Macaca mulatta: one gene and its partners. The protein of the gene in region 1 interacts with the protein of each later gene in a pairwise test. Links are inferred from orthologs where the notes say so. Each region holds a gene or a part of one and is shown in the gene's direction. Other genes may lie near its edges. The genes, in order: MYO5B, AMOTL2, RAB11B, RAB25, TRIM54 and BNIP2.

Region 1 (3,954 bases):
TTCCTTGGGTTGGGGCCTCTTCCTTGGATCGCTTAAAGCTCCCCAGTTGACTCTCATTGTGGAGGCGCCCACGGGAAGGCCTGCACAGGTGAATTACAACGGGATCTTGCGTTCCAGGTGGGATGCCTTTGAGAATCACCCTCTGAGGCTCCTAAACAACTGCCCCGGCTGGTATAGATAGATCTTCTGGTGGAGAACCACTTTTCAGGGGCCACCCCTGGTTCAGGGACACATGCCACCTTCAGAAGGGAGTGTCTCGTCTGACAGCCCTGGTCTCCTTCCACAGACTCCTGGCAGTCTTTTTTTTTCTTGACTGAAATTTCTACTTTTCACTGGAAGTAGGAAAAGAGCTGAAGTTGCTGTAGGCAGCCAAGTGCCATGGGCAGAGAGGGAACACAAATAAACGAGGTAGTGAGTGGCAGAAAGACCGGGAGTCTGCATGTAGGAGAGACGGGGGTTGGGAGAACGTGAGACTTCCCGGAAAAGCAAGAGCCCTCTGAGAGGAGTGGCCTGGAGTCTCCTTGGAGGCTGTGGGCGAAAGTGGCCAATATTTGTACAGAAGAAGTTACGACTCCCACCTTTCTGACGGATTTCCGCGCAGAGAGTTCAGTTTGAAGGAGAAGATCCTTGGTGTACGTATGTCCAGGTCGCCTTAATAACGATCTACGAGTAACTGAATTTTAATGAAAGCGCTGAATACAGCCAGGTAAAATCGAGGGCAACGTCCGGGGCCTTCCAGCCATAGAAGTTTCTCTCTTTTCCCCGCTCTCTGGTTAGTTCCTCTCCCCTTTTCTTGTGTGCACCGCGTGCGTGCCGGACTCCGCCGGGCCGGGTGCGGGTGGAAGAGCAGGTGCTGGCACCGGGGCGCACCTGTGCCTGCGCGTGCGGCGTCCAGCAGGGGGCGGCCCGCGCCGGTCCCCGAGCTCCGCTCTGAGCGCCCCGCCCCCGGCCCGGAGGCCCAGGTGGCAGCGGGGGCGCGGGAGGGCGCGTCGGGCCGGGCACCGGCAGGGCTCAGAGGCGCGGCGGCGCACGGGCAGTCCGCTCTGACGCGCGCGGGTCCTCCCTCCTCGCCGGCCCTCGCCTCCTCCCTACACCTGGGCGGGGAGCGGCGTCGCGCTGCCTCCTCCCCCGGCGCTCGCAACTCCTGTCCGGCCGCTGCTGCGCCGCCGCCGCAGGAGTAAAGGTCGCGCCGCCGGGAGCGAGCCGGCCGCTGTGCCTCCGGGAAGCCGGCGGGGCAGATCGGAGAAGAGCGAGAAGATCGAGAAACTCCAGGCCAGCCCAGGAACATGGCGCCAGGCGGGCCGGCCGCGGACTGAGAGCCGCGGTGCAACGGGGAGCCGGGGCTTGAGCCCCGCCCAGCCCGGGCCATGTCGGTGGGCGAGCTCTACAGCCAGGTGAGCGCAGCCGCGGGAGAGGCGCCGCGGGGCCGGGGCGGAGCGCTCGGGGCCACCTGGCACTCAGGGTCGCCTTCTCCCTCGGCTACTGGAGGCGGGAGGTGACGGGAGACCCCTCCTGGTGTCCCCCGCGTCTCCGTCCTCGGCGTCCCTAACTTCTGTTGGCGGAGAAAGTTTAGCGGTTCCGGGAACGCCCGCACTGACCGGCCGCCCGGCTCCTGGAGATTCCGCAGCGCCACGGCTCAGCCCCAAGCCGGTGCTGTCGCCCCCTCCCCGCCGCGCCCCTCACTTTCGTTGCCTGGGCTGGGTTCCAGCTGAGTTCCCCGAACCGCGGGGGCGACTCTGCCAGCTCTGAGCGCCGTGCTCGGACGGTCCCCCGCGGTGCGCCCGCCGCTGTCCCCTGTCCCCGCCGTGGACCCCGCCCCAGGGGTTCTGCGGCGCCGGCTCTCGAGGGTTCGCCTCCGAGGCGTCCTTTCCTCACGCATACCCACAACAGGGAACCCTGGACTTGGGAGAGGTGGGGGTTCTGGACTTGGTGGAGAGGGAGGAGACTCAACCTGGCGTGAGGGCGCGGCAGCTGGATGGAGTGGGGGTAAGCGATGGGTAGAGGGGTGCTCCGTTATCTCCGGAGACCCCAGGGAAGAGCATTGTGAATTTGCTGGGGATGGGTATTTTGACGCGGCCCCTCTGGTACCAAGAGAGCTTCAGTGACTGTGGGGAAGGGGGTTGGAGTAAAGCCGAACTGGGAGCAGGGTGTGAGTTTCAGGATGCCTTCAAGGTCAGAAGGGATGTGCGAGGCTGGGTGCTCCGAATCCGGAACAGGTGCAGCCTGGGCGGAGACGCCCGCGTTCCGCAGCAGTTGCTGTGGTTAAAGTTAGGGACGAGCCACCGCTTCCAGGGGAGCTGGAGGCAGCGCTGCAGCCGTCCGGGACCCCTCAAGTTTCACCCTGGAGTCAGGAGTGAGATGGGCAAAGGCCTTTTCTTCACATGTGCCCTTTAGGAAAACAAGTTTTGGATAGTCCAATGCCTGGTTTTCCTGTTCATCTTCTTGGGTGGCCAAAACACATACGACAGTGCCTGTGCACACGCCTCCGTGCAGAGTTGTGTGTGCGTGTGGTGTCCGCGCGCGTTGTGTGGGTGTGCGATTCCCGGGACACCTGCCCGGGCCATCAGGTCTGGGCTGGGTAGGAACAGTCACTTCTGCGTCCTTACCTGGAGAGCACTCGCGGCTGTCCAGCACATGTGGGGGAGCCCTTCTGCTCCGTGAACTGGCAACCCTTCTAAGTTTGAGGAATTTTAAACTCTCGCCTTCCTCCTGGAGCGGGGAGCAGGGCCGGGATGGGTTCACGCTCATGAAGGTGGCCGCGGAGGCTGTCACCTGGCTGGGGGTGGGGACGCAGCAGCCTCAGATACTACTTCCTAGCCCACCAGGGACCTCCTGTGCAGCGATCAGGGATGGGCGACGGCCTCTGGGGGAGGAGGGGAGGAGGCGAGGAGGCGAGGAGGCGGGAGCCAGGGCGTCAACTCTGTGGCAGTCCTAGGCTTGGAATGGCACTCCACCCCTCTTGGCTGTGGAGGTATTGGGAGGATCCCTAAAAGCTCAGGTTTTTTCCCTGAAGCCGGTTAGGTTTCAGGAGCTGGGACTGGAGGCTGGAAGCCAGTGAAGGCAGGGGAAAAATCTGAACTGGAGTGCTCAAAGCCGAAGCTTTGTTACATTAAAGTGCATGGAGATGCAAATTGTACTCCTAAGTAAAAGGAATGACTCAACTGAATATACCTCCAATGTGTCAAAGTCCTTTGTCAGGCAATATTGAATTGCTGTTATTATATGAGGGGGAGAGTTTGTGGGGTAAAATGGAGTTAAAAGTTTAAAAATATAAACTTTATTTCTCAACGCAATTTCCATCAAGGTCAAGACACTTTTGAAAGTTATACCAGCCACCTAGTTCGTCCCTAAAGAACCGAGGGTCCTGGGAATTTAACCATGCCAATGCAGTCTTACATTATTAACTGGAAAAGATGCAGGTCATTAACTTCGAGATTAGGACACAAAGTCAGAAGGAGCCAAATCAGGACTGTGAGGTGGACGCCTAATAGTTTTCCGTAGAAACTCTTGCAAAATTGCTCTTCTTTGAGAGGAATGAGGAGCATTGTTGTGGCAGAAAATGACTTTTCTGGTGACGTTTCCTTGGTGTTTTTCTGCTAAAGCTTTGACTTCCTCAAGACACTTGTAATAAGCAGATGTCATCATCATTTGGTCTTCTAGAAAGTCAAGCAAAATGGCTTGAGCAGTCCTCCAAAATGCTGCTATGATCTCTGCTCTGAACCAGTCCACCTTTGCTGTGACTGGACCTCTTTCACCTCTTGGAAGTCTTTGCTTTGATTGGGCTTTGTCTTCAGGATTATACTGGGAGAGCCACATTTCATCCCCTGTTACAATTCAAAGAAATGCTTCAGGGTCTTGATCCCACTTGTTTAGAATTTCCATCCAAAGCTCTGCTCTTGTCTGCAATTGATCTGGGTGCAGCAGTTTTGGTATCCATCAAGTGGGAACTTTGCT
Region 2 (3,500 bases), on another chromosome or scaffold:
CACCATATTGGCCAGGCTGGTCTTAAACCCCTGACCTCATGTCATCCACCAGCCTTGGCCTCCCAAAGTGCTGAGATTACAGGCATGAGCCACTGCGCCCAGCCACCAGCCAGCTTTTATATGCCTCCCTGAGATTGGGAGGAAAGATGGTTGCCCTAATCCATAGTGCTTAACCTCACTTTGGACTTCTGTGTAAACAACTCTTGGTGTTTACAAACCAAATAGCTATTTCTCCACTCCCAAACCTACCCTTGTGACAGAGTTAGCATGGCTGAACCCCCGGTTTGCCCAGTTCTGTTCTAATTTACACCAATTTTCCCAGTATAATTATTGATAGCACCCCCTTTGCCAGTTTGGAGGATTATTTGTTTGGTCTCTATGCCCTTGGCCATAGGATTCAGGGCAGGGGTATGGGGACCTGTGCTGTACCCCCATTTCGGTAGAGGAAGGATGGGGAAATGTATGCTGTGTATGGCCGAACACGCACATGTAAGAGTGACAGTCCTTGTGTGGAGGCGAAGACCAGTGGCTGCCGCACCCCAACCTCCACCCTTGACCACGGTCTCCACTCCTTGCTCTGCAGAGACAGGCAGGCACCCCAGGTGGTGGCAGTGGCAGTGGCAGTGGCGGGTCCCCAGAGCTCAGCGCCCTTCGGCTGTCAGAACAACTGCGCGAGAAGGAGGAGCAGATCCTGGCGCTGGAGGCCGACATGACCAAGTGGGAACAGAAGTATTTGGAGGAACGTGCCATGAGGCAGTTTGCCATGGATGCGGCTGCCACGGCTGCTGCCCAGCGTGACACCACTCTCATCCGACACTCCCCGCAGCCCTCGCCCAGCAGCAGCTTCAATGAGGGTCTGCTCACTGGTGGCCACAGGCACCAGGAGATGGAAAGCAGGTTCGGCATTGCAGGCCAGGCACCTGAGGTTTGGGAGGCGGGTGGCAATGTCCAGTCACTGCCCTGCCCTTGATCCCTGATAAACAAACCGCTTTCCCCACACAGCTCAGCAGTCCCTCAAGCAAGCTGAACCTGCATGCTTGGCACACCAGGCGCTGTAAACTTGCATTTGCCTAGAAATACCGAGTCCTTGGTCTACCCAGGAGACTCTTACTGTGGAGGTGTTGGGTGCCGTTTAGGGCTTAGGCCCTGCCTCCTCTCTCCGGAGTGCTGCCCTCCAGGATGAGGGCTGTGCCTCCACTATCATCTGATGACTCTGGAACCCACCCTTGATGGCCTGCCTTTCCTGGTGTGGGAAGGGCCCAGGGCCTTATGCACTGGTGGTTTTCAGAGCCTGGGCTCTAAGAGCATCACATGCCAGAGCTGTGGTACCATTTCTAAGCCCCCTCTAGGTCCCTGCTACAAGCACAGAAAGATCCAGCCTGGCCGGGTTAGGGGAGGGGGCGTGCTTTTCCTCTAACTCCTATGAGGCGGGAAGGGTGGCTGGATCTATGGGTCTGACAGTGTGGGCATGGCCTCTCACCCCTCAGGTTAAAGGTGCTCCATGCCCAGATCCTGGAGAAGGATGCAGTGATCAAGGTCCTTCAGCAGCGCTCCAGGAGAGACCCTGGCAAGGCCACCCAGGGCTCCCTACGGCCTGCCAAGTCGGTGCCATCTGTCTTCGTGGCTGCGGCAGCAGGAACCCAGGGCTGGCAAGGGCTCTCTTCTAGTGAGCGACAAGCAGCAGACGCCCCTGCTCGGCTGACTACAGGTAAGAGGAGGCTGCTGCTGGGATAGATTGAGAGGTAGTTTCTCCTGGGCCTGAACACAGATTGCCAGACCTTTCCTCCCAGAACTGAGGCTCATGGGAGCCAGGGCTTCCTGATTGTCTCCCAGGGGAGCTGGCTTATTCTCTACCTCCAGTGACTCTACAGCCCATGGCTCTCCTGCCAGTGTGAAGAGGGGTATTTCGTCCCCATCGCCGTAAATTCCATCATGCTTTAGCCCCAGCCACTGAACTGAGAAAAATAGAGCTTCCTGTGCAGATGCACCTTCTATGCAAGCCCCCTCCACTCTTCCTTCTAAGCAGATGCCACAGAAACTCTAGAAGATTTAATCTACAAAGAAGGGTCCCACCACCCAAAACATTTGGAAGCCAATCCAATCTGGTAGTCATTCCCATTTTAAAATAGGAGCATTTTTAGTCTTAAAGTTCTTGCAGATCAAGAGCAGCCCACTCCACCTTGAATCCCCAGCAAGGACAGTTAACTTACAGTGTCCTTCACCAGGGCCACATCTTACAGGTGTGGCAATAACCATCCACCTACCTTCCCAGCAGACAGGGCACCCACAGAGGAGCCAGTGGTCACACCTCCCCCTGCTGCCCATGCCAAACACGGGAGCAGAGATGGGAGCACCCAGACTGACGGCCCCCCAGACAGCACCTCCACCTGCCTGCCACCGGAGCCTGACAGCCTTCTGGGGTGCAGCAGTAGCCAGAGAGCAGCCTCTCTGGGTAAGTCCTCCTGACCCCACTTCTGTGCTAGGCAGGGCCAGGGGAGCACTAGGGTGTGAACTGGAACACCAAAGCCTTTTCTTCCCAACCCCCTCTGGGTCATTGCCTGTACTCCATGGGGAGCCCTGCATAGCCAGAGGTGAGCAGCGTGCCTGGCCCACCTCACTGTGAACATGAAGGGTGGCTGGCTGCATGAATAGGGAAATTGGAAACCCTGATTAGAGGCAGATCCAGAATTCAGAAAGAAAGCAACCAGATGGGAGGCACTTAAGCTCCTCTTTCATGGTCTTCCCTACATAGTTAATTTCCAATTTGATTATCCAAGAGAATGGAGTTTGCAAGTCATGCCGATGGCACTCTGGAAGCCTGTTGAGAGTCCGGGAAAGAGAAATCTGAGAAGATGCCATTTCTTTTTCCACTCCCCTTTCACACTGGCCTTTGCATATTTGCCTGTGCCTCCTGATCTCAGAAAACCACAGGCATGAAAAGAATGCTGCAGCCTCCCTCCCTCAGGCTCTCCATTGCTCTGTCTAAGCCCTCCAACCAGTTCAAAGTTAGAAACAAATGCATCTTACACATCGGAGGTTGGTGGGCTGGGCTGAGCACTGAGAGGGTGCAGAGCATTGTGCTTGGTTGGCCAAGTTCTGGGAACCTGGGCAGCAGAGGTGGGAAAAGTTGGTGAAGAAAGATCGTTGTATTTAAAATGTGCCAGGATTTTAAAAGCAATCTAGTAACACTCATTGGCATGTGCCTGTGTTCTTGTCTCTCTCCAGACTCTGTAGCTACATCCAGAGTCCAGGACTTGTCAGACATGGTGGAGATACTGATCTGAAGGAGGTGGTGCTTCAGGACTCTGAGCCATTCTCTCCCCTCCTCTGCCCTGTGCCACTCTCAGCCATTTCAGCAGCCTGTCAGCCGCTGCTTTGTCCCTTTCCCCAGCCAGACTCTCATTCCCATTGACCATCTGGCCCCAGGAGCTCAGGAGGAGGACCCCAGGGGAGAGGAGAACTGTGAGAGCACCAGCACCCCCAGAAGACTCTGCTTCTTA
Region 3 (3,986 bases), on another chromosome or scaffold:
CTGTAATCCCAGCTAATCAGGAGGCTGAGGCATGAGAATCGCTTGAACCCAGGAGGCAGAGGCTGCGGTGAGCCGAGATCTCACCATTGCACTTCAGCCTGGGCAACAAAAGCAAAACTCCTTCTCAAAAAAACAAAACAAAACAAAAAACTGTCATAATTATTTCACTGGGTACATGTATATCAAAACAGCACGCTGTACGCCCTAAATACATAAAATAAAACAAACACATATTGTATTGTCAGGTAGTGATAAATCCTATCACTACCTGACAATACGGCAGTATGTGTTTTATTTTCTATATTACCTATATTTTACCTATGTGGTAAAATATTGGATAAAGAGGGGTAGGGGTAGGAGGTCCTGTTGGAGAGCATCGGTGCCCAATAAGGATTTGTAAGTATTTATTAAACAAAGAAAAGCAGAAAGTGGACGGTTGATTCACTCTTGGTGCAAGCCACCACGCTCGGCTAATTTTTGTATTTTTAGTAGAGACAGGGTTTCACCATATTTGTCAGGCTGGTCTCGAACTCCTGACTTAGTGATCCGCCCGCCTCGGCCTCTCAAAGTCCTGGGATTACAGGCGTGAGCCACCGCGTCCAGCTGATCTGGTTATTTTCAAAAGATTCCATGAGGTGGGTTTCTTCAGTTTACAGAGGAGAAAACTGAGGCATAGAAGGATAACCCAGTGAGTCCCAAAATAGAGATGGAAACTACAACCGACAAAGGGGACCCAGCGCTGAGGTCCCCGGAAATGATCATTTATGGGATTGGGGGGGCGAAGCCAGGGCAGCGCTCGCTGACCTATGACGTCATCGGGACGTTAAGAATCTTAGCATCACCTGGACGTACCCCCATTTCCCTTCCCGGACAGGTCCTCTGATAGTCGGCTAGGTTCTCAATCCAGCCTCTCATTGGTTAGTTGGTCTGTCATTCCACTTCATTCCTGCAGCCTTCCGCCCCGCCCTCTTAAGCTCGCCTCTAATAGGCTGTCGCGACCGTCACTTCAAAAAGGTCCGCATTCCTTCCGCCTTTCTCCAGGACACCGAGGGCGAGGAGGGTGGATACCAAGCGGCGCCCACCCTCAGAGCACTACTTCCATCTCTGATTGGCTCCGCTAGGTGCCAGTCGCTACCCCACCCGCCGCTGATAGGCCATTCAACGGCCGTTCTGCGCGGCGCCGGCTCCGCCCCCGTCGAGTGTTTGTGGTGGGGCTGCGGAGTTGCCGATCCCGCCGGAAGCGCCAGGACAATGGGGACCCGGGACGACGAGTACGACTACCTATTCAAAGGTGCGGCCGGTGGGGCACAGACGGGCTAGGGCGTTGCGGCGAGGCGGCGGGCAGACGGGCCAAGGCCGCGCTTCAGGCCGCTGGGCCCAGTCCGGAGCCCGGGGCTTGGGGCCCGGCGGGTCAGGCAGCCGGGAAGGCCGGGGCCGACCGGGCTCCATCAGCTTCGAGCTAGGATTCGCGGCCATGCGGAGCCAGAGGCCCGGAGAGACCTGGGGGACCCAGGATGCGCTGGGGCGGGGCTGGGGCCTAGCGGGGGTGGGGCCCGGAGCGGTGGGAGAGGCCGTTAGGGCGGGGCCTCCGGAGGGGGTGGAGCCTTCCCAGGATTTGGCGGGCCGGGCTGGGCTGAAAGCGTGGTTCGGAATGGGGGCGGGGTTTTAGAGGCGGGCTAAGGCTGATGGGTGTGACGAATAGGTGGGTTGGGCCTGGTAAGTGGGGGCGGGGCTCACGAGGCCAGTCCTGATTGGGTCAGCATGTTTGGGGGTGGGGCCCGGGATAGGCGGGGCAGACAATGGGGGCTGGGCCGAGATGAGGGCCTGGGGGTGAGGTGTGTGGTGGTGGGAGTCTTGGATTGGGGTGCAGAGCTGGGATTGAGTGGAAAGGTATCCGTGTGTGCAGCAAGAATTCCATCTCTTCACTTAGCACTCTCAACGGCGCTAAGCCAGTACCTGCACTTTTCTGAGCACTTTACGCAAACGAACTTAAATCCTCACTGCAGCCCTTTGAGGTTGATATTAACCAGCCTCTCTTTTTACACATTGGGAAACTGAAGCCCAGAGTGACAAAGACACAGTTTATAAAGTGTTGGAGCCCGATTGAGCGCAGGCCACCTGTGGGCTTTACCACTTAGGAAGCGTGTCTTAAGGGGCTTGTGGCCAGCATCTAGGACTTGGGGTTGTTAGACCACCTTCTTCCAACGTGCGCACTGATGGCCGGGGCCCCAGCCAGCCTGTTGGAGGGTCTTCCCCGCCCGAGAGACTGAGGGGGCTCTAGGAACATCAAATAAAGCCTAGTCAGATCAGGCAGCCATTGCCCGGTCTGCTGGAAGAAGCTGGAGTCCCTTGTTTCTCAGCTGAGCCTTCTATGCCCAGCTAGACTTTCGCCTAGTCGTCTGCCCTGGTTGCTGGGCTCCCTGGCTGACAATGGCAGCCCTTGAGGGTTAACCCCTGGATCCAGGGTGCCTTCACCCTGCAGCCTGCTCTATAAGGGCCTGCGTCCCACATCAGCTGTTGGTATCCTCGCCTCGCTGAGCCGTTCCTCCGAGCGTGCTCTGTGACTTGCACCAGGCCTAGCTGGGCCTTGCGTCTGGTCTCATCCAGCGTCTTGTGGTTGTGGGGAATGGGCAGAGGTCTCCCCACCTGAGCTGTCCGTGAGGCGAAAGCCTTCGGTGGAGAGGGAGAGGAAGTGTCTCTGCAAGACTCTGAAGTCGTCCTGCGGCACTGAGGGCTCTGGCAACTGCACACAGGTTGATAATATCACTGGTGGGTGAGGCTCTGTGGCTGGCAGGTGCCAGGCCCCAGGTCTCGCCCTCATGGCAGGAGGAAGCTTTGGAAGGGTTTTGGGGACTGGGATTCTAAGGGGCCATCTGGAGACAGGGGGACCAAACTTTGGGTTCTGCTGGGCGGGTGCCATCTCCACTCAGCCCTTCCTGAGGCAGCTGCTCTCAGGTCCTGGCTGGGCACCCACCCAGATGTGGCACTGCCAGGGCAGGGAGTGTTGCTCCCCACGTGCCCTGTCCAGGTTTCTGTGGTTATCCCCTGCTTGTTATTTTCGCCCTTTTGCTGTTTTAAATGACCCCAGCTCCGAGTGTTTGCCCAAGTCATGATTTTGCCCTTTGGGTTATTTCCTTGAAGTACATTCCCAGCAGAACAGTTACTGGGTCAGGAGCAACGGAGAGGCTGTGTGGTCCCGGGACCCGTCTGCAGAGACTGCCTCCTGGAAACACTGATCTAGCTCCTGCGGCAGCTGCCATTTGGCAGGCGGGCGGGCAGTGTGGGGGGGGGGGCCTGCCCTGCTGCCCTCCCCACACTGGCCTCCTTTTACTGAGTCTAAGCAGGTGCCCTGCTGACCTTCTCAAGCCAGTTGGTAGCAAAAATCTAACGCACAAGGTCAGCCTTTCCCAAACTGGTCATCTGCCGTCTCACCTTCACAGCTGTGCCTCATCAGAAGACCTCCTCTATTCTTTTTCAATATTTGTCTTTCTTTTTCTGTTTCCTTTCTTTCTTTTCTTTTTTTTTTTTTTTTTTTGAGACAGAATTTCACTCTAGTCACCCAGGCTGGAGTGCAGTGGCGCAATCTTGGCTCACTGCCACCTCCGCCTCCCGGGTTCAAACGATTCTCCTGCCTCAGCCTCCCGAGTAGCTGGGATTACAGGCACCCACCACCATGCCTGGCTAATTTTTGTATTCTTAGTAGAGACGGGGTTTCACCATGTTGGCCAGGCTGGTCTCGAACTCCTGATCTCAGGTGATCCACCTGTCTCGGCCTCCCAAAGTGCTGGGATTACAGGCATGAGCCACCACACCTGGCCTCTGCCTTGTTTTTTTTTTTTTTTTTTGGTGGCCACATCACGCACTGGCTCCCTTGACCTCAGCGGCCGAGGCCAGCAGATCCCCCGGGTGATGCCCTGTGTGCTGTTTGTTTTCCTCTGTGAATGTTCTTTCCTTCCCCCAGGAACGACACTGTTGATTTGTACCTA
Region 4 (3,500 bases), on another chromosome or scaffold:
CTTTTAAGGACACTGCCTGGCACATAGTAAGCATTCAGTACACTGTAAATATGAACCATTAGTATCTCCACTTTACAACTGAGGCTTAGAGGCAAAGTAGTTTACAAAAGGCCACAAAGTCTGACTTCAATGCCCTTGCCCTAAGCACCTTTGGGGTATGAAGCTAGGGCTGAGAGCCCACCCACTGAGAGGGATGGGATGGGGATGTGCCCAGTAGGGGAGAGGCAGGAACACACACACACATACACACACACACACACACATCCTCTTACCGACACATATCCAATATTATTTCCAGCTTTTCCATACTGTCCTACACAAATAAGGAATGTTTAGATATACATTTTTTTATTTTTATTTTTTGAGACCCAATTTCACTGTCGCCCAGGCTGGAGTGCAGTGATGCCATCACAGCTCATTGTAGCCACAACCTACAGGGCTCAAACAATCCTTCCACCTCAGCCTCTTGAGTAGCTGGGACTACATGCACTTGCCACCGCACTTGGCTAATTTTTTTTTCTTTCTTTCTTTTTTTGAGTTGGGGTTTCACTCTGTCACCCAGGCTGGAGTGCAGTGGCACAAACTCGGCTCACTGCAACCTCCACCCCCCGGGCTCAAGCAATCCTCCCACCTCAGCCTCCCAAGTAGCTGAGACTACAGGCACATGCCACCATGCCTGGCTAATTTTTGTATTTTTTGTAGAGATGGGGTTTCACCATGTTACCCAGGCTGGTCTCAAACTCGTGGGCTCAAGAGATCCTCCTGCCTTGGCCTCCCAAAGTGCTGAGATTACAGGTGTGAACCTCCACACCCAGCCAAGAAACTTTTAAAGTTGGAGGAGGCCTTTATAGGTTATATAAGCAAGGAAACTGAGACTGAGAAAAGGTGAGTCACTTGTTCAAGTTCACACAGTTAGTTAGAAGCTGAGCAGGGACCAGAGCCCACAGTATGTGGCTCCCAGTCCTTGGGTGCCAGCCTGCCTTTCCAGAACCACTCTGGGTGGCCTCCTCTAATTCTGTGTGCTCAGCTCAGTGCCAGTGCAATTTGTGGGCTATACTTACATCAGCCCCCTACACGCTACCCCAGCCCCCAGCTCATCCACAGTGGGTAAGACTGGGCCCTGGATGCTGCCCACCAGGCTAAAGGGTCTTCATGGCCCCTCCGGTGAATCCTTTGTCTCTGAAAACCCAAAGGCAAAAACTCTGGCCTGCTAAGAACAATCGTACCAGTCATGATTTTTACACTTACTATATCCTGGGCAACGTCTCACTTACTTCCTACAACAACCCTTAAGGTAGATACTAATGTCTTCCCCATTTTTCACATGAAAAGGACAGCTCAGAGAGGTTAAATAACTTGCTGAAGGACACATAGCTGGTCTAACACCCAGTCCCATGCTCTTAACCATGTGGGACTGCCCCTCCTTAGGGACAACTGGAACCTAACTTTTTACACACACATGAGCACACATGCCTTCCTTTCACCCACAGATGTGTCAACTGCCAAACTTTCTCCTTACCCACACTTCGATTCACACCTCTGTTCATTATGCAAACACACACACCAAACCTCCCACTTGTCCTCCCGGCTCATACATATAGAGACAAGCACAATGTTCTCATACTCCTAGTCCTAGTCCAGAACTGTGCACCCCCCGACCTCCAACCATCCCTGTCCATATTCACACTCAACAGTAATGTCTCCGCATGACACTCATAAACAGCCCACAGATGTCACTCCCTCACTAGAGATGCAGGCTGACTCTGCAACCATATCTCAACAGACCAGGCTATAACCCGTCAAGCCCCTTTGTTTTAAACTCTTGGCTTTTCTGCCCACCGGGACAGATGCACTATGCTGAGTTGCAGACTCCAGTCTCACAGGAGACTCCGTTCCCTAATCTTTTTTCTGAGCTCAGTTCCCTTTTTCTGCTGGGCAGACCCTGCAAGCTCAGGTGGGCTTGGAGCTGCTCTACCCCATGCTCAGCCCTTATCTCTCCACTCCTTCAGTGGTGCTGATCGGCGAATCAGGTGTGGGGAAGACCAATCTACTCTCCCGATTCACGCGCAATGAGTTCAGCCACGACAGCCGCACCACCATCGGGGTTGAGTTCTCCACCCGCACTGTGATGTTGGGCACCGCTGCTGTCAAGGCTCAGATCTGGGACACAGCTGGCCTGGAGCGGTACCGAGCCATCACCTCGGCGTGAGCCCGGGCCTGGGGGGCTGCTGGGTAGTGGGAGTTCTGGGGAAGTCAAGGAACACTTCTGGAGGAGAAGTTGGGGTGGAGGAGGCAAGGGGGCTCAGCAGTGGGCTCTGGGTGGTGGGGGTGGAGATCACAGAAGATAAAAGGTACTGTAAACAGAACCAGCACAAGCCAGGATATAGTAATACTGACTAGTACTACTAAAAGCAGGAATCATTGCCACTTACTAAGCCTTTGCTATGTGCCCAGGAAGGGACAAGGCACTTTACATTTGGCATTTTATGTAACCCTTAAAGTACCACAAGAGTAAAGTGCTATAATTAATTAATTTCTGTATAAATACAAGCAAGGTGAAATCAGGGTGGAACTGGGATGGGGGCAAGCTGCACGGATCGAGAGCGCCCCCTCACTTCCGCACAATGCTCTGCACTTGGCAACTTTCATCTAACCACAGATGGCCAAAAGCTGAACCTGCCATCTGCATTTTATGAAGACTCAGAGGACACATAGGAGGTTAGGCCTCCTGACACCACATCCAAAGTGACTCTTAGGCCGGGTGTGTTGGCTCACACCTGTAATCCCAGCACTTTGGGAGGCCAAGGTGGGTGGATTGCTTGAGCTCATGAATTCGAGACCAGCCTGGGCAACATGGCGAAATCCTGTCTCTACCAAAAATATAAAAAATTAGCTGGGCTTGGTGGTGCGTACCCGTAGTCCCAGATACTCGGGAAGCTAAGGCGGGAGGATGGCTTGAACCTGGGAGGCGGAAGTTGCAGTGAGCCGAAATCGCCCCACTGCACTCCACCCTGGGTGACAAAGCGATACTGTGTCTCAAGAAAAAAGTGTCAGCTGAGCACGGCAGCTCACACCTGTAATTCCAGCACTTTGGGAGGCTGAGGCGGGCAGATCACAGGGTTAGGAGTTCGAGACCAGCCTGGCCAACATAGTGAAACCCCCATCTCTACTAAAAATACAAAAATTAGTCAGGTGTGGTGGTAGGTGACTGTAATCCCAACCACTCGGGAGGCTGAGACAGGAGAATCACTCAAACCTGGGAGGTGGAGGTTGCAGTGAGCCGAGATCGTGCCACTGCATTCCAGTCTGGCGACAAAAGTGAGACTCGTTCTCAAAAAAAAAAAAAAAAAAAAAGTGTCTTTCAGTCAGTGTGAGGCCTAAGCATGTGAAATGGGGTCTGTTTGCCAGGGGGCAGGAAGCAAGAGTCAGGGGCTTTGGTTACACACGCTCCTCGTTACCTGATCTCTCATGAGCCTCAGTGGACTCATCAATAAATTGGG
Region 5 (3,500 bases), on another chromosome or scaffold:
AAAGGGGAGGAGCAGGGCATGCCCCTCCCTTGAAAGACGGTTTATGCAATTTCCTACAAATTACACGAAACATTTGCATATACATTCCAGAGCACAGCCAACTGGCCACACCCAGTTGGAAGGGAGGCTTAGATTCACGGTTTTCGTTTGTTTGTTTTTTTGAGATGGAGTCTGCCTCTGTTGCTCAGACTGGAGTGCAGTGGTACTATCTCAGCTCACTGCAGCCTCCGTCTTCTGGTTTCAAGCAATTCTCCTGCCTCAGCCTCCTGAGTGGCTGGGACTACAGGTGTGTACCACCGTGCCCAGCTAATTTTTTTATTTTTAGTAAAGATGAGTTCTTGCTATGTTGCCCAGGCTGGTCTCAAACTCCTGAGCTCAAGTGATCTGCCCACCTCGGCCTCCCAAAGTGCTGGGACTACAGGTGTGAGCCACCACACCCAGCCCTTTATACCATGTGTCTTGTTAAAACTCAGCGCCCTTATTATTAAAGAAGAAAAGGTGGTGAACGTCCGGGAACAATAAGCAGTGTCTGCCAGTCTTTCATCTCTGCATCTCCCCACGCATAGACTCTTTTCTCTGTAGACCAGCCTTCTCTGTTCAGAGTTTATGACCCCTCACACTTTCCAGGGTGGCCATGATGTCAGCTCTTAGCCCAATTCCACAGGTCTGTTCAGTTCGTAAGCAACACATGGTGCAGCCAGCTAAGCCCCTGAGTCTCAAGTGCAGATTCTTAGGAGAGAACATTTAATTGGTTCTGCTTGGGTCAGGTGATCACCTCCTTAGCTCTGAATCAGTCATCTGTGGCACGGATCTGTCTTCTAGGAGAGGATGGAGCAACTTCTCTAGGAAAGAGATGTAAGCGGGAGGAAGTGATGGGTGTCTGTTAAGTCCTCCTTCTGAACTTACCCCTGTCACAACACCCATCCTGCTGGATGCAGTTGTTGGGTGCTTGTCCTTAGAGCAGGATGCATTTTCCTTGTATCTTTAACTCAGAGTCTAGCAACTACCTGGCACACTATAAATGAATAATCTAATTTTATCCTCAGCTTTACAGAGGTTGAATACCTGCCTAAATTTATATAGTTAAGAGGTTGGGCATGGTGGCTCATGCCTATAATCTCAGCAATTTGGGAGGCCAAGGCGGGAGGGTCGCTTGAGGTCAGGAGTTTAAGACCAGCCTGGGCAACATAGTGATACTTCATCTCTACTAAAAATTAAAAAAATTATCTGAGCATGGTGGTACATACCTGTAGTCCCAGCTACTCAAAAGGCTGAGATGGGAGGATTGCTTGAGCCCAGGAGGTTGAGGCTGCAGTGAGCTGTGATCCCACCACTGTACTCCAGTCTGGGCATCAGAGAGAGACCCTGTCTCAAAAAAAAAAAAAAAAAGCATCAGAGAATTACCTGGCTAGTTACTGTTTGTGAGCCCCATTGTTGAGCACTTGTGTCTGCTGTACCCCTCCCCAGGACTGCAGAGAATCTCCCCCCAGATGTGGCTCAAGAGGGCCCCAGACTGGAAGACACTGGCCGCACCACTCAGAGTCCATTTCCTGCCTCAGCCTTATTGCCAAGGCCAATGTCTCCCCACAGCTCCAAGCTGGGCCCCTTTGGAGAGATCCCAGCCTGACTACACCTTTACCAAAGCTGGTCTCTAGATGCAGGGGCACTCTAGGAGGTGGGCTGAGTAATGAGGCAAAGGTGGGAAGCAGGGTCTCCATAGCCGTACACCCTGCGCTGCTCTCAGAGGTGGATCCAGCCACAGAGAAGAGCTGACATCTTCCCCTCTATCATATTCCTACTCCCTAGCCCCCAATCCCTTTCCCCCTGCCTCCTCCGAGTCCCTTCATGCCTCCCCGTGCCTGTTCTCTCAAGCCATCTGTCCCTGCAGGCCTCGAATCCTCTGTGGCAGTCCCGGGGCTCCACCACTGTGTCTTCAGGAGGCCGTTTCCGCTGCCCATCTTGCAGGCATGAGGTTGTCCTGGACAGACATGGTGTCTACGGCCTGCAGCGAAACCTGCTAGTGGAGAACATTATTGACATTTACAAGCAGGAGTCGTCCAGGTGAGCTGCCAGGGTCTCTTGCCTCTCTAAATGTCAGGGCTTGGGACACAGCCAAGGAACCCATCAGAGCCAGAAGGGAGAGACTGAAACCGTCAACCCACCTGTTCTGTCTAGAGACAATAGGACTGGATCCGGAGAGGGATTGCCTCAGGCCTCCCAGAGAGGGCAGTCCCTGATTCCCTAGCCAGTACTTCACTCCTACCCTCTCCTCCTGGGAGAGGCTGGCAGTCCACCAGCAAGATCCTCGCCAACCCTCCAAGACTTCCTGTCCTGTGGGACTTCCCTGCCCCCTGAAATACGGACTATTCTTGGATCCAGGCCTTCTCTATCTCTTAGCTCCTTCTATTCCCCAAACTCAGAGCTCTGTGGAAGTACTCACCAGTTCAGCCACAGCACTAGCTGCAGGGGTGGAGAAGGGGTGGTAGTTGGTGGAGGCTGAAGAGAAGGTGTTCCTAGGACCCTTCATGCTTAAGGTCCACCTCCCCCTGCCCACTCCTCTCTAGGCCGCTGCACTCCAAGGCTGAGCAGCACCTCATGTGCGAGGAGCATGAAGAGGAGAAGATCAATATCTACTGCCTGAGCTGTGAGGTGCCCACCTGCTCTCTCTGCAAGGTCTTCGGTGCCCACAAGGACTGTGAGGTGGCCCCACTGCCCACCATTTACAAACGCCAGAAGGTATCAAACAGGGGAGGGAGTAGATGTGTGGGAGATGGGGGCTTAGGACAGGGTCTCAATGTCAGCCTCTTATTCCACTTATCTTTTGTTTATTTCTTTATTTATTTAGAGACAGGATCTCACTCTGTTGCCCAGGCTGGAGTGCAGTGGCACAAACAGAACTTACTGCAGCCTTGATCTCCTGAGCTCAAGTGATCCTCCCGTCTTAGCCTCCCAGAACACTAAGATTATAGATGTGAGCCACTGCACTCAGCCCTATCTATTATCTATCTATCTATCTATCTATCTATCTATCTATCTATCTATCTATCTATTTTGAGATGGAGTCTCGCACTGTCACCCAGGCTGGAGTGCAGTGGTGCAATCTTGGCTCATAGCAACCTCAGCCTCCCGGGTTCAAGCCGTTCTTATGCCTCAGCCTTCCATGTACCTGGGATTACAGGTGTGTGCCACCACGCCCAGTTTTTTTGTTTTTTTGTTTTTTTGGTTTTTTGTTTTTGATTCCTGGCTTCATGTGATCTGCCCACCTTGGCCTCCCAACGTGCTGGAATTACAGGCGTGAGCCACTGTGCCCAGTTCCATTCATTTATTTTTGAAAAGATGTGGGGATCTCTGTCGCCCAGGCTGGGATGCACTGCTATGATTGTGATTCACTGCAGCAGCCTTGAACTCCTGGGCTCACGTGATCCCTACCACCTCAGTCTCCCGAGTAGCTGGAACTACAGGCATGTGCCGCCATGCCCAGCTTATTTATTTATTTATTT
Region 6 (3,500 bases), on another chromosome or scaffold:
GTAGTTAACCACTTCCTATCTGGTATTACAGTTAATTTATGTGCTCAACAACAACAAAATTGGCTCCCAGATAGCTACTTGAAGTAACCTATAGTCATAACTGCCAGGGAGAATATTGTCACAAGTTGAATCTGGAAAGGCATTGTAAGGCACATGTACTAAGATTTTGATGACTCTATGAATTATATTTTCTGAACTTGTGGATATATGATATAAACCACTATGATTAGGTGGTTTTTGCTAAATTGGGCAATAAAAAAAGTTAACCATGATTTCCAAAGACATAAAATGGCCTCATGTTAAGAATAAGCCTTTTCCTGCATTATGGAAGAGATATTTAAAATTGCACAGATGGTATAATGAAAATTCTCTGTAAAATCTAGATAGTAAAGTGGTTAACGTATAATTTGATTTTTATTGTGTAACAATTGGTGATTGAAAAACTTTTTATTTTGACAGATGATCTTCCAAAACCCAAGACTACTGAAGTAATTAGGAAAGGCTCAATTGCTGAATATACAGCAGCAGAGGAAAAAGAAGATGGACGACGCTGGCGTATGTTCAGGATTGGAGAACAGGACCACAGAGTTGATATGAAGGCAATTGAACCCTATAAAAAAGTTATCAGCCATGGGGGTAAGAGTTACTGAACATTTTTCAAATTGTTTAATGTGGTATCAGAATTCTCAATAGTTTTAGAAACTCTGCCTAGAGATATTACGTAATTTTGAAAGAATAATAAGCATTTATCATATCATTTTAGAAACATGATAGGTTTGAAGTAAAAGAAGAAAAGTACCATTTTTTTCTCTTTTTGCTTTTGAGATGGAGTCTCGCTCTGTGGCCCAGGCTGGAGTGCAATGGCGTGATCTTGGCTCACTGCAAGCTCCGCCTCCTGGGTTCACACCATTCTCCTGCCTCAGCCTCCCGCGTAGCTGGGACTACAGGTGCCCACCACCAAGCCCAGCTAATTTTTTTGTATTTTTAGTAGAGGCGAGTTTTCACCGTGTTAGCCAGGCTGGTCTTGATCTCCTGACTTTGTGATCCACCCGCCTCAGCCTCCCAAAGTGCTGGGATTACAGGCGTGAGCCACTGCGCCCAGCCAAAAGTACCATTTAAAAATGATTATATACCTACACTAAGTTGAAAAAGTACAAAAGAATTTGTAGTGAAAACTGTCAGGTTGGGCATGGTGGCTCAGGTCTGTAATCCCAGCAATTTGGGAGGCTGAGGCAGGAGGATTACTTGAGCCCCGGGGTTTAAGACCAGCCTGGGCAACATAGACCTTGTCTCCACCAAAAAAAAAAAAAAAAAAAAAAGCCAGGAATGGTGGTGTACGCCTGTAGTCTCAGCTACTTAGGAGGCTGGGGTGGGAGGAGAGAGAGCTCGAGCTTGGGAAGTTGAGGCTTCAGTGAGCCGTGATCATGCCACTGCACTCCAGTTTTTTGTTTTGTTTTGTTTTGTTTTTTGTTTTTTGACCCTGTCTCAAAATTTTAAAAAGAAATTTTTTTTTAGCTGTCTCTAGGCTACCCAAAACTGGGACTGTACTTTCTCCATAATTTATAAACAGTGAAATGCCCTGATCTTAAGTGTACAATTCAATGAGTTTTGACAAATGCCCATATAACTGTATATTCCCATATATATAACCCACACCCCTAAACATATAGAACATTTTCATTGTCCCAGAATAATTCTTTAATACCCCTGCCCAGTGAATCCTCACCTTGGTAGCCACTGTCATATCTACCGCCTGATTAGTTTTACCTGTTCTAGAATTTCATATGTAGTAACTGAAATCATCCTGTACACTCTTTTGTTTACTTTTCAGTATGAAGTTTTGGAGATTCATCCATGTCGTTGATGTATCCACATTACATTCCTTCTTATTGGGGAGTAGTTTTCCATTGCATGGATAAACCATAATTTGCTTATCCATTCTTTTTTTTTTTGATGTGCATGTGAGTTGTTTCCAGCTTGGGCTATTATAAACAAAACCGCTTTGAGCATTCTTTTAGAAGTCATTTATGGATATAAGTAAAACTTGGACTTTTTTTTTGTTTTTGAGATGGACTCTTGCTCATCACCCAGGCTGGAGTGCGGTGGCGTGATCTTAGCTCGCTACAACTTCTGCCTCCCTGGTTCAAGGGATTCTCCTGCTTCAGCCTCCCGAGTAGTTGGGATTACAGGCGTATGCCACCACCCGAGCTAATTTTTTATATTTTTAGTAGAGAAAGTGTTTCACCGTATTAGCCAGTATGGTCTTGATCACCTGACCTCATGATTTGCCCACCTCAGCCTCCCAAAGTGCTAGGATTACAGGCTTGAGCCCCTGTGCCCAGCCCTAAAACTTAGACTTTTTAACCTTAACTCTTAATGTGCCTTAAAATCCTGAACAAATTTTTTTTTTCCTTTTTTTAATTTTTTTGTTTTGTTTTGTTTTTTGAGACGGAGTCTCGCTCTGTCACCCAGGCTGGAGTGCAGTGGCGCAATCTTGGCTCACTGCAACCTCTGCCTCCTAGGCTCAAGCAATACACCAGCCTCAGCCTGCCAAGTAGGTGGGACTACAGGCACGCACCACCATGCCCGGCTAATTTTTGTATTTTTAGTAGAGATGGGGTTTCACCATATTGGCCAGGCCGGTCTTGAACTCCTGACCTTGTGATCCACCCGCCTCAGCCTCCCAAATTGCCTGGATTACAGGCATGAGCCACAGCGCCCAGCCCAAATTATTTTTTAATAGAGAGCTCATTCACTCCACATTTTTATAGAGTACCCACTTTCCATACTTATGGGATATACAAAAATACAAGGCTTAAGTCCCTTCCCTTAAGAAACAGGAAAAGCTATAAAAGTTTAAGTTACAAATCCTGTGAATCTAACAGTACCATATATAGAAGTTTACCTAGGCACATTGTAAATAGTGCTAGAATGTTAGTGGCAAGTCAGAACACAACTCACTGTAGAGCATGTCACACTACCTTAAATCCTCCTAACACAGGACAGAGTGGCACATGGGTCAAGCAGATTGATTTTTTTTCGGAGTCATTTCCACTTAATTTACCACTTACTTTAATGCCAGATGCATTCCCCTGCTTATTTCTACAGTCTTCATTCATCTGAAAGCAAATCACATGAATATTTGTAGTTGCATTCTTCTGCCTAATTTAATCATACTCAGATGAAGAAAATGGCATAATCTGGATCAGGAAGTCCACAGACGTATATTATTCAGCTAGTTCACTGGAATCAAATTATAAGGCCTGATTTATGGCTTCAATCTCTTTCAGAAATAGCACTTTTTTATAGGGGAAAATAAGACCACCTTATCTTACTGCATTATCACACTTAATATATTTTGTGACTGAGTGATTAAGAAAGGTAGTGAAGATTCTGATGTTCTTGAAATGTTCAAATCTTTTCAAATGCAAATTTGTAAACAATAGAAATGAAGGTTAAAGCAGAAGTATTTGCTACTAAATATGGGCTTAATATCTAAA

What was found.
Region 2: the proteins of MYO5B (region 1) and AMOTL2 interact in binary tests that used the Homo sapiens proteins (3 or more experiments, as listed by UniProt). The two-hybrid records come from large-scale screens. The link is inferred for Macaca mulatta from reciprocal best matches to the Homo sapiens genes MYO5B and AMOTL2.
Region 3: the proteins of MYO5B (region 1) and RAB11B interact in binary tests that used the Homo sapiens proteins (3 or more experiments, as listed by UniProt). The link is inferred for Macaca mulatta from reciprocal best matches to the Homo sapiens genes MYO5B and RAB11B.
Region 4: the proteins of MYO5B (region 1) and RAB25 interact in binary tests that used the Homo sapiens proteins (3 or more experiments, as listed by UniProt). The link is inferred for Macaca mulatta from reciprocal best matches to the Homo sapiens genes MYO5B and RAB25.
Region 5: the proteins of MYO5B (region 1) and TRIM54 interact in binary tests that used the Homo sapiens proteins (3 or more experiments, as listed by UniProt). The two-hybrid records come from large-scale screens. The link is inferred for Macaca mulatta from reciprocal best matches to the Homo sapiens genes MYO5B and TRIM54.
Region 6: the proteins of MYO5B (region 1) and BNIP2 interact in binary tests that used the Homo sapiens proteins (3 or more experiments, as listed by UniProt). The two-hybrid records come from large-scale screens. The link is inferred for Macaca mulatta from reciprocal best matches to the Homo sapiens genes MYO5B and BNIP2.

Annotation. Positions count from the first base shown.
Region 1 is NC_133423.1:42,113,700-42,117,653, forward strand, and holds the start of MYO5B (unconventional myosin-Vb), read left to right. Parts: upstream 1-1,154; 5' UTR 1,155-1,367; coding exon 1,368-1,394; intron 1,395-3,954. UniProt on the Homo sapiens protein: May be involved in vesicular trafficking via its association with the CART complex. The CART complex is necessary for efficient transferrin receptor recycling but not for EGFR degradation.
Region 2 is NC_133407.1:37,401,506-37,405,005, reverse strand, and holds part of AMOTL2 (angiomotin-like protein 2), read left to right. Parts: intron 1-583; coding exon 584-897; intron 898-1,487; coding exon 1,488-1,708; intron 1,709-2,272; coding exon 2,273-2,452; intron 2,453-3,225; coding exon 3,226-3,284; 3' UTR 3,285-3,500. UniProt on the Homo sapiens protein: Regulates the translocation of phosphorylated SRC to peripheral cell-matrix adhesion sites. Required for proper architecture of actin filaments.
Region 3 is NC_133424.1:9,236,658-9,240,643, forward strand, and holds the start of RAB11B (ras-related protein Rab-11B), read left to right. Parts: upstream 1-1,186; 5' UTR 1,187-1,251; coding exon 1,252-1,291; intron 1,292-3,506; exon of another isoform or gene 3,507-3,636; intron 3,637-3,986. UniProt on the Homo sapiens protein: The small GTPases Rab are key regulators of intracellular membrane trafficking, from the formation of transport vesicles to their fusion with membranes.
Region 4 is NC_133406.1:110,869,020-110,872,519, reverse strand, and holds part of RAB25 (ras-related protein Rab-25), read left to right. Parts: intron 1-2,009; coding exon 2,010-2,205; intron 2,206-3,500. UniProt on the Homo sapiens protein: The small GTPases Rab are key regulators of intracellular membrane trafficking, from the formation of transport vesicles to their fusion with membranes.
Region 5 is NC_133418.1:97,686,157-97,689,656, reverse strand, and holds part of TRIM54 (tripartite motif-containing protein 54), read left to right. Parts: intron 1-1,888; coding exon 1,889-2,061; intron 2,062-2,564; coding exon 2,565-2,736; intron 2,737-2,845; coding exon of another isoform or gene 2,846-2,971; intron 2,972-3,500. UniProt on the Homo sapiens protein: May bind and stabilize microtubules during myotubes formation.
Region 6 is NC_133412.1:36,997,489-37,000,988, reverse strand, and holds part of BNIP2 (BCL2/adenovirus E1B 19 kDa protein-interacting protein 2), read left to right. Parts: intron 1-459; coding exon 460-636; intron 637-3,500.